Linked DNA regions of Drosophila melanogaster. The gene in region 1 interacts genetically with each later gene. Each region holds a gene or a part of one and is shown on either strand. Other genes may lie near its edges.

Evidence for each region. Genes that interact genetically often act in the same process or in processes that back each other up.
Region 2: of eIF2Bdelta (region 1) and Trf2, changing one suppresses a phenotype caused by changing the other (phenotypic suppression), as found in Drosophila melanogaster (one study listed by BioGRID).

The regions. Positions count from the first base shown.
Region 1 is NT_033778.4:23,383,081-23,390,534, reverse strand, and holds eIF2Bdelta (eukaryotic translation initiation factor 2B subunit delta), read right to left. Parts: upstream 4,015-7,454; 5' UTR 3,913-4,014; intron 3,746-3,912; 5' UTR 3,738-3,745; coding exon 3,708-3,737; intron 3,632-3,707; exon of another isoform or gene 3,529-3,631; coding exon 2,923-3,528; intron 2,864-2,922; coding exon 2,303-2,863; intron 2,247-2,302; coding exon 1,563-2,246; 3' UTR 1,483-1,562; downstream 1-1,482. Other genes in the region: Mtmr6 (myotubularin related protein 6), read left to right, coding at 1-230, 287-529, 594-816, 877-1,014; roh (reduction of Rh1), read left to right, coding at 4,238-4,418, 4,490-4,557; CG30414 (uncharacterized protein), read left to right, coding at 5,209-5,422, 5,488-5,530, 5,586-5,833, 5,889-6,301; CG13551 (uncharacterized protein), read left to right, coding at 7,438-7,454.
Region 2 is NC_004354.4:8,406,237-8,413,889, forward strand, and holds the start of Trf2 (TATA box binding protein-related factor 2), read left to right. Parts: upstream 1-3,035; 5' UTR 3,036-3,128; exon of another isoform or gene 3,129-3,516; coding exon of another isoform or gene 3,517-3,738; exon of another isoform or gene 3,739-4,045; 5' UTR 4,046-4,453; exon of another isoform or gene 4,454-5,422; intron 5,423-7,653. Other genes in the region: PIG-T (phosphatidylinositol glycan anchor biosynthesis class T), read right to left, coding at 1-350, 559-733; lawc (leg arista wing complex), read right to left, coding at 3,517-3,738.

The DNA.
Region 1 (7,454 bases):
TTCGAGTTCAACGAGCGGTTCCTGCTCATCCTGCACGACCATGTGCACTCATGTCAATTCGGCACCTTCGTGGGCAACTGCGAGAAGGATCGCTTGGACCTAAAGCTGGCCGAGCGCACCTTCTCGCTGTGGGGCTATATGGCCAATCACCTGAACGAGTATATCAACCCGCTGTACAAACCAAATGTAGACGAGGCCATTAAGGCCAACCTGGCACCGCAGTGCATCAAGTGAGGACTTTCTGGAATGAGCCAAATCCTATATAAACTATGCGCTTCTCACACAGGTTCTGGCGCGGCATGTACAGTCGCTTCGAGAGCGGCATTCATCCGCGGGAGCCACTGGGCGACGTGCTGCTCGATAGCAAGGAGCACTGCAACTCGCTGGAGGACCACGTGCAGCATCTGACCAAGCGCATAGCCAGCTTCAAGAACTACATTTCCAAGTCGGCCAAGAAACTGCAAGACGCCACCAGCGCCCCTGGCAAAGTGAACAAGGAGCTCTCCAGCAACGAGATCAATGACAACAAGTGCGTATGATAGATATTAGTTATTATGCTATAGTATGCTTTATAATCCATCCGCTTATTGCAGATACAACTACGATAAGAAGCTTAGCGAACTGTCTGCCGCCGACGACGATCATCCGCTGAAGGCCAGCAACATGTCCTTCGCCAGTCTGTCGCTGAGCGCGGAACAATCCAGTCCGCCGCAGGCGCTGCCCGAGGAGATCAACTCCGTGGCCGTAGACTGGAAGCCCATGCGCAACGTAACCACCTGCTCCTGCTCCACGCCCTTCGATCAGTTCAGCAAAAAGGTGGGTAACTCCGCGTACTTAAGCAAGCCTGCCACTGATGATGATCCAATCCTCGAATAGACTCACTGCTGGCGCTGCGGGGACATCTTCTGCGAGCGCTGCATAGACAAGAACGTGGCTCTGCCAGGACACGACAGTGGAAAGCCGGTGCCGGTGTGCCGGGGCTGCTTCCGGCAAATGCAAAAGCAAAGCCCGTAGAGGCAAGGCAGGCAGGATCGAGGAATGGAGCGGAGCTAGGGTGTGCAATCGATATGGAAACGCTATTAAATTTATTGTGTGTATTTATTGTTGCATTTGTAGACTTAGCTGCTTGTAGAAGCTCATTCAAGTTGTTGCAAATGGAAATCAAAAGAGCAAAACCAAATCAATCCACCAGCGATTGGCTTCCAGGCATCGTCCTAGTCTATAAGCCGGGCACAAAACTGTATTTTGTTATTAGAATCTAGAGCTACATATTTGCTAATCCCAGCCCCACCCGCACGGAAAGTACAATTGCATGTCAGAGCGCAGACTTGCTCTTGATCAAAATATTTATAATTTCCGAGGAACTCGGCGGTCTGCCGGATGTACAGACACTTGGGCCTAGCCCTCCTTCGCAGCAGCGGTCCCTGGCATCAAGCATATTCCACTAGCATACCCGTAAATTATGAACTACGCATCAATCTTGTTTGTCGATTTGATCAAAGTGTAATAAAACTTATTTATTCAACAACTGCGAGTTCTACTGAGCGATCGATGAAGTCTGATTAGTAGCCAATGTCTGGCTTGATGCGGAGTATGACGGGAACACTGGTGCAGGGCAGGATGGCCACCTCGGTGACCACGGCACTCACCAGCTCCGGCGGAGTAATGTCGTAGCTCAGGTTGAGCGGCAACAGCTTTCCCTTGGCCGCCCAGTTGCTTAGCTGGCACTTGTCGCCGCGCACCAGTTGGTTGGGATCGCTCAGCTCGTTGTAGACGATGGCGTCCGTCTGGAAGCGCTCGCTGAACTTGTGCGTCTCGCAGCACACGAGCACCGGCACGTTGTGGGCATTGGCCACCAGGGCCACCTGGGCGGTGCCCGTTCGCGCCATCACGTATCCGTTGGCCAGCAGGGCGTGTGCTCCCAGCAGCACCTTCGTGGCCTCCGCCATCACATAGCCCACGGCGTTGATCAGCACGTAGGTGCACGGGATTCCGGTGGCGTGCAGTCGGCGCAGCAGCTCCTGGCCTTCGCATCCGGGTCGCGAATCGACGACAATCACGCGGAAGGCCACCTGGCGCCGCTTGGCCTCCTCGCAGATGAACTGAATGAGGGAGGAACAGGCGAAGGTCAGCAGCACGTCGCCATCGGTGATCTTTTCCTGCAGAAAACCGCTGATCGCTTGGGCCGCCTTGCCGATTTGATTTTCAATGTAAGTATCGATGAAGTGGACGAGCAGCTCCTTCGACTGTTGAGCAAATGCATGTTACCAATTGAGTTAAAAAAATATATTTTGATTCTTACCTCCGTTTCGGGAACATCCGCCGGCAGCTGTGTCAGTTGGTTCTTGAATTGTTTGTACGCATTGGACACGGACACGGCCAGCGGTCGGCACTTGTGCAGGTGGTCTACGTGGTGCTTCACGGCGGCGTCCAGGCTGCGACCAAACTCCTTCTTGGCGGGCGTCTCAAAGTCGTGGACAACCTGGCGCAGGGCGTGCAGGAAGGCAATGCATCGAGCATTGGACCCCACCACCGTGCGCTTGGCGTACTGAACACCCAAGCGCGCAATGCTCGGATGAACGAGTGGATCGTTGATGAACTGGCTGTCTTCCTTGGCGCACACCAGATGGTTGAACAGCTTCACCCGGCAGTCTACATTGGGCGTGCTGGCTGGACATTTGACGGGGGAACTGCTGGTGGCCGCTGTGGTGGGGGAAACGCTCTTCCGGTTCGGCCCTTTGGGAGCTGCGCTGGGTGGTGCCTTGGCTGCATGCTGGGCCTTTTTAGTCTGTACCTGGGCCTTGGCTGCCCGTTGGGCTTCTTGGATAGCGCGACGCTCCGCTTTGCTAAGAGCTGGCTTTTTCTGTGCAAGGTGAGGTGAGATGTATATGAAGCAAGGAAATCATAAATGTAGCAAGTTACCTTTTCCTGGTCCGCTTCTGTTGTCGAAGGTGCAGCACTGGCTGCGACTGGAGCTTTTTCTGCTACTTTCAGGTCAGCGAGCTGTTGTGCGATGCCCTCTACCTTGGCTCCCCCGCCTTTGCCAGCTTTCTTGGCTGCCTTCTTGGCCTCGCGTTCCGCCTTGATCTGCTCGCGTGTCTTTTCACCCGCCTCCGCATCCTTGCCATTTACCGCAGCTGGCTGAGTCGTCTTTGAAGCCACTGCATCCTGCACCTTTGTTGTGGTGGTGGTCGTCAGCTTAGTGGTAATGGTGGTCTGCTCCACTTCAGTGATGATTTTGGTGGCCGGAGCAGAGGGAGTGGTCAGAACAGCAGGAGTGGCGGCAGTAGGAGTCGGTGCAGTTTTCTGTTTCTTGGCCTGCTTAGCCAGCTTCTTCGCCTCCCGCTCGGCCATTATCTGGTCACGAGTCTTCTCCGTGGCCAATGGATCCACAGCATTTCCGGGCATTGCACTCGTGGCGTCGATGGCTGATGTTTCTTGTGTCGTTGAATGGCTGTCTTCCAGGCGATTTCGTTTGTTGCGCGGTCGATTGCGTTGCCTTTGCTTCTTGTGCTTGCTCTTCAAAGTCTGGGCGTCAGTCCCAGTCCAGATAGGGAGTACGGAATTAGTTATTGATGTAACAATATGTAAAACTATCAAACTGTTTGGATCAAATACGAAATCAAATCGGCCGACATGCTAAATCAAAACTAAATTTGGGAAACTCGCTACTTGGCAAATTAGTTACTAAGAGGCAAGCTAGCTACCTGTGGCACCTGTTCGCTAGTTAAAACCATTTTGAAAGCTTGAAAAGAGAGAGACATGGCAATTAAGGTGAAAAAGGATGTGAAAAGGTTAAAAAAGGTTCAGACTCCTGTGGCGGTGCAATTAAGATCCAAGCTGAATCCTGCGTCTATGGGTAAGCACGAATGCTGGCTTATAGCACCTAAGCAGTGTGCTTGCTGTCTTTACCTTACGATTCTATATTATTATTCGGGAAAAGTAACTCGAAAGTTTTGCTCACGATGGCAAAAAAACGTCCACCAGTTGATAGCGATGTAAGTGAATCGATAACCGTCTTGATTCGCCGCGGTAAACACATGGCCGGCCTTGCCAGACTCGCTAGCAGCCAGTGTCATTTTTGGTGCTTTCCTCGCCGCACGAGTTGGCATTCCCATAGCTGTCTTTTATTTGTGAGGTTCGTATGTTCGTCTGCCGCCTCCGAAAATTACATAATTTTTGCGTAAATTGATTTCGTTTAATTCGACCCTCCACAGCTGCGAATTCCACGACTACCATGGCCGACAAAGCTGCTGCCGAGAAACCCGCTGGACGCCCCATGCGCTACCCATACACTTTCTCCGCGAAGATAGCCCAATTCCCCATCAAGCACTACATCAAGAACCAATGGATCTGGCGCTACTACTTCATTGCGGCCGTGGCCTGCGTGCCCGTGTTCTACAAGATCAGCAAGCTGGGTGCGTAACACTCGCCTCGCGACCTCTGGGCCCCTTGTACTAATGCACTTCTCCCTCCTGCCCATTTTCAGCCAACTCGCCCGAGAACAAGAAGGCATGGGCCGAATCGCAGGCCAAGGAGCACGCCGAGCACCACTAGGCGGCCAGTAACTTAGTCTTAATTGTCGCATCAACATTTCAGAGCTGTTTGTGTCGGACCCAACGTGAAATCGGCGAATAAATGATTTGAAACGAGGTTAAACTTGATTCTTATTGGAGAGTGCACTGCAACATCCAAATACGGTCTTATTATGCGGCTATGACACCACCTATGAGTTGAGTTCGGTCACACTAATGATTTGTTATATGAAACACAAATTAAGTTGCTTGTTACTATTAAAATTCATAACTAGCAGCATTTAATTGGATTTATTAAAGAATAGATTAAATTATATTCCACAACTGATCGCGATGAATATTCGTTTACCCAGATAACTGCATTTCGAAGGGTTAATCGAGAAGCTAAGCAGGAAAAATATTCAAGTTCAAATTTGTATAAGTAGTTGGCGCAAGACAAAGCATCACAGGGGTCTAATTTTTGGTAGTGAGTTGGAATTTCCCCAGATTCGTAAATAAAATAAAAATAAAAAAGTACTGAGAGCACTCATTAAAACAAAACACTGATTCCTATCATATCCGTTTCCGTTGACGGTCATAAAGAGTGTACTGTTATCAGCTGGTCAACATAAAATTCCTCAAAAATTACCTCAAACTCGACTAAGCTTGCCAGTCGCTCCATTACCGCGAAAAGATGAAGTTCATCGCAGCTGGATTAGCTCTTCTGGTCTGCTCCATCCAGTTGGGTGAAGGAGCACCTGGTCACCTGCTAGACTCCAGTTGTGGCACGACAAAACCAGAATTTATCCCAATGATCACCGGGGGCGCAGACGCAGGCCTATTCTCAAATCCATGGATGGTGAAGGTGCTAGGCGAGAAACTATGTGGTGGCTCGCTAATCACCAGTCGTAAGTATTCAAATGTGGCCCACGAATGAGTTCTTTGTCCAGTCACCTGCTGCTAATACTTTCAGGCTTCGTTCTCACGGCCGCCCATTGCATCGTTAGTACACACATGTAAGTGAGGCAGCACTGTCTTTCGGCGAACACTTACGAATTCCCATTTCCACAGGAGAGTACGCTTGGGCGAGTATAAAACCCGCTTTCCTGGCAAGGATTGCTCGCGCTGCGTGCCCAAGTCATATAAACTCAGGAGAATACGCTTGGGCGAGTATGACACCCGCTTTCCTGGCAAGGATTGCTGCGTGCCCAAGTCATATGAACTCGCTGTGGATAGAAAGATTTTGCATGCGGATTATAACCTAAACTTGGACAACGACATCGGCCTGTTGCGCATGAAGAGCTTCGTCCAGTACTCAGGTAATGAGGTGGATCCAGCAGCCAGGGCTCCCTAAGCAGTGGACATATCTTTCAGACTACGTCCGGCCGATCTGTCTCCTGGTCGAGGGACACATGGCGGAAAGTCCCATCTTCAACATCACCGGCTGGGGTGTCACCAACGATGGCACGCCCAGCCGGAGGCTCCAGAGGGCCACTGTGTACAACACCGACCTCCACTTCTGCCGAAGCAAGTTCACCAAGCAGGTGGATGAGTCGCAGATTTGTGCTGCTGGCACAAATAGCGATGCATGCCACGGCGACTCGGGAGGCCCGCTGAGCGCACAGGTTCCTTTTGCCGGCAGCTGGCTGACCTTCCAGTACGGACTGGTCAGCTACGGGTCGGCGGCATGCCATTCCTTCTCCGTTTACACCAACGTTACGCACCACAGGGACTGGATTGTGAACGCCATCGAAGACTTCAGCAGAGCTTTCCAGCTTAGACTCTAGCTACTCATAATAACATTTCGTTGGCTTTTCTAAGAAAATATTATCAATCCAAAATATTATCTCGAGTGGTTTAATGGCTCCCCTGACTTCTGTCGTAGACGCCATTCGGGTCAATAATATCTGCATTAGTATTTATGTACATAAGCGAAGCTTATCTTCAGCAAATTTTAACGCTATACGCAGCGAAGCCTCGCTTTGACTGATTCCCCAGAATTCTGGGGAAAAACCGAACCCTTGGAGAAGGTTCACTTCTACACCCTCACTGGCTGGGGTCACACCGCAGACTATAAGCCCAGCCGCATTCTCCAGGAGACCACTTTGCTTGCGCTCGAACAATCGTGTTGCAACAGCAACTTCAACATCGAAGTCGACCAGTCCCAAATCTGCACCACTGGCGTGGACAGCGATGCCTGCGGTGGGGATTCCGGGGGCCCGCTGAGCGCGAAGCTGCTCTTCGGGTTAAAGAAGCGGGCTTTCCTGCTCGGACTCGTCAGCTACGGGGATGCATCCTGTAGGATCTTCGAAGTGGCCACGAATGTGACGCACTACGTCGACTGGATTAAGGCAACAATCGACGAGAACTCAAGTTAAAGCGTTAAAGCGTCAAGTTAGAGTCCAAGTCGATTGAGAATTTAAATTTGTTGCTAGTAAGAAATCTGCAATTGAAATATTAGTTTACCATGATTAAGTAAACAACAGAAGAAGCTTAGTTTTATTTGCAGTATGCAAAGGGTATAAAGCGTTATCGATTAAAATCGCAAGCTCACATATTCGATAGACCACGCCGACTGTGCTCGCTCTGCCGCGAAGGTATTATTTAAGGGTGCGCCTACGGTCACTCTGCAGAAAACTTTTGTCGTCGCAAAAATGTAAGTAATGTTCAAGCGCGCCGCACTTTTCCGGCATTAAATCTAGTATGTGCATTGGGTATTCGTGTATATATTTTATACAAACAACAAACAAAGAACTGGCTAAAAATAGCGGCTCTTTTATTGCGACTTGGTTTTCGAAAAAGTTCAATGCACTCCGTTTTGTTAAGGAGACGGCTTTACAGTTACTCTTCGTAATGGAGTTTTCTCAATAAATTGTATTTTCTGCGCTTCTCTTGCAGCTAAACTACTCAAGAATCAAACAGAATGTTCGTTGTACGTCG
Region 2 (7,653 bases), on another chromosome or scaffold:
CGGCAATGTGGCATAGCGAACGAATCTTTGGCCATTGGCTGGCATAAATTGTGGACGAATCAAGTGCCTCGGTGCAATGCTATTCGTATTGTCGACGAAATTCAACGAGGCGCACAACACGCCCGAGAAAACGTTGGCCAACTCCTTCCACTGGCGATCCACATCCCGGTTGGTCAAATTTGCGCCACTGAACCACGCCCACATCTCGGCACCGCTGGTGGCCTCCACAATGGGATAGCCCCATGTCTCGTAGCGCCACAGTCCCTGGGTTAGGCCAATGTGCAGCTCCTTTACCGCAAACTGCTGCAACAGCTCCGCAATTACTCGAGGCGTCAATTGGGTGTGGTAAACTGAAAGAGCAAATGGTAGACACAATATAAGCATTTAATCGGTTAACCAGAAGTTCTAATGATGCTTCAATGGGGCGCATATGTATACATATATGTAGGAACACCTTTCGGCATGCAATGGCCTGTATTTTCGTATGCCGGTGGGTGAGATTCCCGCCCCATTTTTGCAATCGCAATGATGCGGACTTCGGCCGCTGAAAAAACTCACGATTATCCTTTTCGCCGTAGTGCCAGCGCGTGGTGAACTGAAAGTAGGTGTTGACATGGTCGCCGGACAATGGACGAACCACTAGCTCCTCGTGGAATCGTTCGTCATCGCGTCCCAAATTCGCGTCGGCATTAGGTGCAACCAGCAGCAGCAAGACAAACGCCACCGGATACATGCTGGCCCATAGGTTCAGTGCCAGTTCCTCCGCCCTTAGTCCGTTTCGGTTCTAACGACAGCTGATGATCCGTTTTAATGTATTTTATTTTATTTTATTTATATTTATTTATTTTTTTTGTGTTTAGGTTACCGCGACATCCGTAAATGTCGTGGAATTATTTGGCCAGCCGGATATGGAAATGCAAAATGGAAATTGCCACGGACTTAAGGTTGCAAAGATTTATAAGTTTATTTTAATTTGGTGTAGTAAATCTTTGATGTTTTCGTTTTTAGAGAGATGGTAGATGTCTTGGTATTTTTCCAGGGCTGGAAAGTGCTGCCTAGCAGTGTTGTATAACTTGTGGGATACGTTATCGATAACGTTACATTGGTCACACATGTTATTGTTTGTAACGTGCATTTGATTCAAAATATAATTGTCAAATGCGTTATCGCTGAGAAGTCTGTTAAAAAGAATTTGTACCAAAGCAAAAAATCCACCACATCCACGAGTTGGGCTTACAACTAAAGCACCATAAATGAGAAAGCGCGCCAAAATCGAGCATCATCAAAAGTGAGTAATAAAGGAAAAAGCGAAATAAAGTAGCTGCAATCTTACGGAATCGTGAGCCCGCCAAAAATTTGGCGTACACCCAAAGAGAAAACGCGAATAAGGTATAACAAATAATGCTCGGACAGCGAAAGAAGGAATAGGGAATCGAGAGAAAGATAAAACAATTTATTGGAATTCTTAGTGAAAAGTTAGAAATAAAGGAAAAAGTGGACAAAAAAAAACTGCACTTTCGATGTATTTTAATACTCAAATTTTATTAACATAGAAATTAACGATTAGACAGACCGTTTTCTGGCTGACCGTTTTATATACCGTATATACTGTGAAAAATACTACATAATACTCATGGGTGTGGAACACCGCTTAATCATTGGTTTATGTCCAGGATAAAAATTTTAAACGTCGTTTATACCTTTTTAAAACAATCTATAGTTAATCAAAAAGAATAAATATAAATAAATAAAGAGTGAAAACAAAGCAAGTGCATAAACACAGCGATCATTTATTATTATGTATATTTAACACACATATTTAATATGCACGCGAATAAAATGAAAAAGTCAACGGCAGTCTTTCAAATGAAAAAACTAAAAGTAACAAGGAAAGTTTTTTTTTTCTATAAATATAGAACTAAAACTATGATGAAAAAACTCATCATTTGATAATACTAATAAGTATGCTACTTCAGTTCTGGCTTCTTTCCGAGTAAATACATGATTTTCCAACTTCTTAGAAGTCATCTGCACGTTTTTGACCACAAAAACATCTTCTCCTTGAAATTATTTGTTGCACCTGGGTTCCTATAAGCAAAAGTAGTTTTTTTTTAGTGCATCTAAAAAGGCAGCTTATTGTAAGCAGCTTACATGAAGTCCACGGGGCTTTCAGCTCTTTAAATTTCTTTCTTTTGCGTTTCCGGGTGTATCTAAACAAGAATTTCGAAATGGTTTTGATTAAAGTGCTCATCTTCTTGAAAGCGCAGCACTTGTCTACTTACTGTGCCATTGCTTTGGGGAAGTTTTGCTTCCGATTCTTAGTCCTGTCGTTGAGCTTGCATCTGCTTTCGGTCTTTTCAATCTGTGGCTATGATTATGATGCAGTTGCTCCTCGCAGGAGAAGACGCGACTCTCGTCCTGCGATATCCACAGTCGCGCTTTGCACGTGCAGGTGGAATCACCATGCGATAGCCGGCTTGAAATTTAAACTAATGTCGCTGCAGCTAAGGACTTTGTTCGCATATCCAGAGCGGTGGAGAATCTGCAATTCAAATTGTTGTATATGTATATATTGTATGTATATATGTTTTAGCCACTCTGTAAAAGTCCCATGTAACATTCATGTACCTAAACTAAATGCATAAACAATTTTAAATAAACGTGCCAATTTAATGGAAAAAAACATCGATCACAGCTGATTTGCACTAGAAGGTTCGAGTCTCTGATAGCCAGCAAGTTGGTATTTTTGCAGCATATTTTTTCTGCTGTCTGCGCACCATAAAATTGTTTATATTACTTTTCAAAAACATTGGCAAGCGTATATTTGCACAAAATGTAACCCTTATCTTATAATCAAACGGGTAAATATATTTAAACGGGAAAGTGCAGCAAATGCAACGCGCGAGTCCGTTTCCACCACATGGTATTCGGTTTGGATTTTTTTTTAGTATTTTTTCGCGGCATTCTACCGCACGCGTTAGTGCATACGCACACGGCTCGCGGGGCATATTATAGCGACGCACCACGGTCACGCTGCTCAAAGTGAAACGGCCAAACGAAGAAGACGTATCGTGTGTGCTCAGACTTGTGCTCTCAAAATTTTTGGTCAACTACATTATTCAGCTCTGGTAGCGAAACAACAACAACAACTACTACTACTACTCACACTTAACAACAATACGAACGAAATAACAATGCCGTCGACGCAGCGCCGAAACGCAGATATATTTTTTTTTGTTAATTCTTTTGGAGCAAGCAAGTTCTTCTTCAGCGAGCAAAAAATAAATGAAATGCAGCCGCCGCACAACATGATATGCAGATTAATTTAAACAAAACAGCGATCGAACTACCGCGGGTGGGGGTTCTTTTTATCACTATATTTGACAACAATTTGTATACTGTTTTTATTTGTTGCCGTTGTTTTACCTTTTGGTCAGTCATATATGCAGATATATGTATATATATATATATGTATATCTTCATAAATGCACATGAGAATTCGCGGAACGGAACACACTATAGAAACGTTAAGCAGCGGCAGTAGCAGCAACAAGAACAACAGCAGCAACAACAACTACTACAACGAACAGAGACGACGTCGAAGGAAAGATTTTTACTCGCGTCGCGGTATACTTCAACTGTTTTTGAACTTTTATTGCGTGTTTGCTGCTGCGACAAAACTTGCGCGGCGCCACAAAGCGGAGAAAACGTTGACCGCGTGTGTGTGGCGGAGAGCATGCGCTCTCTCGCCCGTATACGTATACGCGCTGTTGTGCGGTGGTGTGCGTGTCTGCGCCAGTCGGTACGCGATTTCAGTTGCGCCGCCCGTTTCGCTCGCGTTTATCGCGACTCACACACTGAAGTGAAGGCGGGCGACAAGCGCTGCCATTGCCAATGCCACAGTGTTGTCCGTTGTTCGCCGCGTTCGCTCTCGCCGCAACTCGAGTCGATATGCCCGAATTCGCCGCCGCGCCTGGCTGTGTGTGACTTGCTTGCTCCAAATTTAGACGAACCCTCATTGTTTTCCTCCCCTGTCTCAGTTTAGAGTTTTAACTAAAAAAGATCACAAGCCAAAAAAAAAAAAAACAAAGAGAAACCTAAAGAAATATCAACCAAAAGTGTGCAAAATCCAAAAGATTCTACAATCCGAATCGAAAACAAAAACATAAGAACCACAAAAGCAGCAGCAGAAAGAGACACAGAGAGCAGCGAAAACTTAACTGCGAATTCAGCGGCTGAAGCAAAGCAGCGGAGCCCAAGTGCAAGCGAGACGGCAGCAGAGCTCCGCTGCAAGGCAACGGGATAGAAAGAGAGATAAATAGAGAGACAGCGCAGCAGCGATATAGAGTGAGAGCAGGCGGGAGAGCGAGTAGCGGCAGCGACAGCAACACAGCCACAAAAGAGATCGTGAGAGGGAGGGAGAGCTAGACGACGACCTACTACACAAAAAAAGGTGATAATTTTTTCATTTCATTCTTTTTACCTTTTGATTTTTCTTTCTTTACCCCCTTCGAATTTCGTTTTAGTTGTATTTTGTGGTATCTATAGTTAACACATCTTGTACGCCTAGTCTAGTTTTAAGTGAAAATCGTACGAATCGTACGTACCAAGAAATGCCAAAGCAAATAATGTAACTTGCTCTCTCTCTCCCTCGCACACTTCCTCTAGCTCTCGCTCTCATTTCATAACTCGTTTTCCATAAATTTCATATATATTTTATTCAGTTGTATATTTCTTTGTTCACCCCACTAAGAATCAAACGCCTTTCCTAATTCTCGTCCAAAAAGTCCAATCAATTCAAAATCATTACGAATTTCGATTTGCAGCTTTGTAGCTCACTTTCATTGAAACCACAAAGAAATAAATGAGAGAGAGAGAGTGTGAACATTTAACAGTAACGAGGGCTGTTATTAACATTTCAGCGGTGCGTAAAAGAAACCAATAAACATTAACAAAAAAAAAAAAAGAGAGTTGCTAAAAACCAAACAAAAATGTCTGCATTTTTCAATCCTTTCGAGTGTGTTTTGTGGGCGGGCTGACGTCTGACATCACGCGGGGCTGCTTCTTTTGCTCCTAGTTACTTTTCTTGGCCCAGAGCTGTGTGGAACAAGTCATAGTAAGAAAGTATCGTTGGTTTACAATGGGCACATTGGAACACTCTTCTATGGAAAGTGCACCACTTGCCCACTGTGTTTTTTCTCTCTTTTTCGCTGCCCCAGCGGCAAATCTTTATCCTTTCGCATCGAATTCGCCATCTAACAGTGTGCGTTAACATGAAAGCGCTAACAGCGGCAGGGCAGCCAGAGCCACAAGGCGAAAGGGTGAGGGGGAGAGTTAGTCAGTGGATGAGTGTTCGCCAGCAAATCGTAATATACTTTTGTAACAGACCACTGCTTCGGGCCGCGCTGGCGGCAGACTGAACCGCGTTGTCACACATTCAAAATTTCAACAAACTTCGCTACGCTGCCGACGTCGACGTCCCCACGCCAAGTTAACCAAGCGAGTGTGAGCGAGTATTGGGCTCTTGAATTCGCCTCACGCTCACTTGTCGCTTTGTCGCCGGCCGCTCTCCGTCTCGCTCTCGTTTTCGGGGAATAATTTCAATGATTTTTCTTTCCTTTGAAAAGAAGTTTCTAGCAGTTGTAGTTGTAGTCGCCCATGGGCTTAGATTGTATTTTTTATGTTGCTCTTCGTTCGTAAATTTCATTTAGTTTGGATATTTTATCATTTTACGAGGGGTTTTAGGCAGTTTTTACTCGATATTTGTACATTTTTGCACTTGTAGTTTCCGCAAGTTATGGTTTTGTTGCGGCATAGCTTAAGTTTTCCCCCACAAATGTTAAATTGAGTGGGTTTTTAAGCATTTTATCATATTTTTTGTAGGGTTTCTTTCAGGTATACGCTGTTAACTATAGGAGAAATATTGTTTTCAAAGTAACAAGTACTTATGTATGTGATTTTTGCCACTTTCGTACATTTTAGACAAATCAATGAATATTTCTCATTTTCAACATATTCTATTATACAATGACTAGCTGAAATACAGAGGTGGTCAAAAGTATTTACAGTATTGAAGTATTTTTGACCACCTCTGTATTTAGCCTTCATTGGTGGTCGTTCATATAATGTTGTTTCCCCACTATCTTATCTCTTTTGATTGGATTTCACATGTTTAAGGGGTCAAAATGAGTGTATTTTTCAATGCTCAATTCGCTTCCGTTTTCAGCATGCTTACTCACGCACACACTTGTGCGCTTTAAACGCTTACGGTTCTGTGTGTGCGTGTATGTAAATGTCTAATACTTGTGTCAATTTTCCCTAGTGATGTAATAGATTTTTTAGGTGCGGCTTTTTTTCCGCCTTCATTCGCTCTGCCATGTTCCACACTTTTTCATGCTCTTTAATATTATTTTTTTTAGTTTGCCAACGAGGTCAGACTGGCACAAATACACATGCAAATGCACGTGCATATGAGTGCGCGCACACAGAGACATCCCTAAATAAATCGCAGTTTGCAGTTCTCCCTTCCACCCTTGCTCTTCTGTCTCTCGTTTGTCTACCTTTCATATGCCCTACCTGTAAGCGATCGCTGTTGTTGTTACTGTTAAATGAATCTGTTACACTCCTCTTCTTTCTTAAAACCTTACTTCCGGCTTGATCATCTCATGCTCTCCCTCCTCTCGCTCTTTCTCACTGTTTCTGCATAAATAAGTTGCCCGCATTTTGTTGTTATCGCTAAATTCTAGTGTATGTGTGTGTGCTGGTTGGGTGTATCTGTATCAGCTTGTAGTATTTCTAAGCCTTGTTTTGGTTTCACGCCCTTTTTATTTAATTATCTGTAGAATGTGCGGCGACCCAGAGATTCCGATTCCGTTATCCCTCATTAAGAAAAGTAAACACCTGCCATAATATGTAAACATTACGCATTTACATATGTATGTACATACATGTACATACACACTATAAACCAAAGAGATTGCCGTTATTGTATTACGAATTTTAAGAATCAAGCTCATCCTAGTAATTGTTAATGTTTGTTTCATTATTTACTGGTCTGGCTACTCTTTTGGTTTGTAATATTAAAAGTAAGTGCGACTTTTCCTTCTCTGCGGTCGCATTTTCCAAAAGTAGAACAAAAAGCATTGGCTTAACCCCTTTTGTTCCCCCCATTTTCCGACCGATTGAAATACGCAAATGATTGATGTAACTTTGTTAGTGCTCGCTTCCTTTGCCTTTAAATTAAGCCCATTAAAATTAATTAAGATATTGACCCAGTTCGCTGGCAGTCGTCGGAAAAGCGTCGGCACAGAAACAAAATTGTTTCAAGTGCCTGACATTTTTACATTAAAGCGACATGACGTCATTAGATGAACTTGTTGTGCTCACTTTGCTTGTGTTTGTTGGTTTCTGCTGGAAAACGAGCATAAGCAGTTAATAATTGGCAGTGATTGCAATAAATGCAAATATGTATTCTTTTTTAAATGGAGCATGAAAAAAGAATATAAGGGGGAAAATCAGCAGAGATTGCAAATAAAAACTATAAACAAACCACGGAGTACTTTAATTTATATGTATGTATGTATGTGTGTGTACATGCATGTATGTACATTAACTGCGAAATTCCACTGTATTTCATTGGTTTCTTTCTTTCCA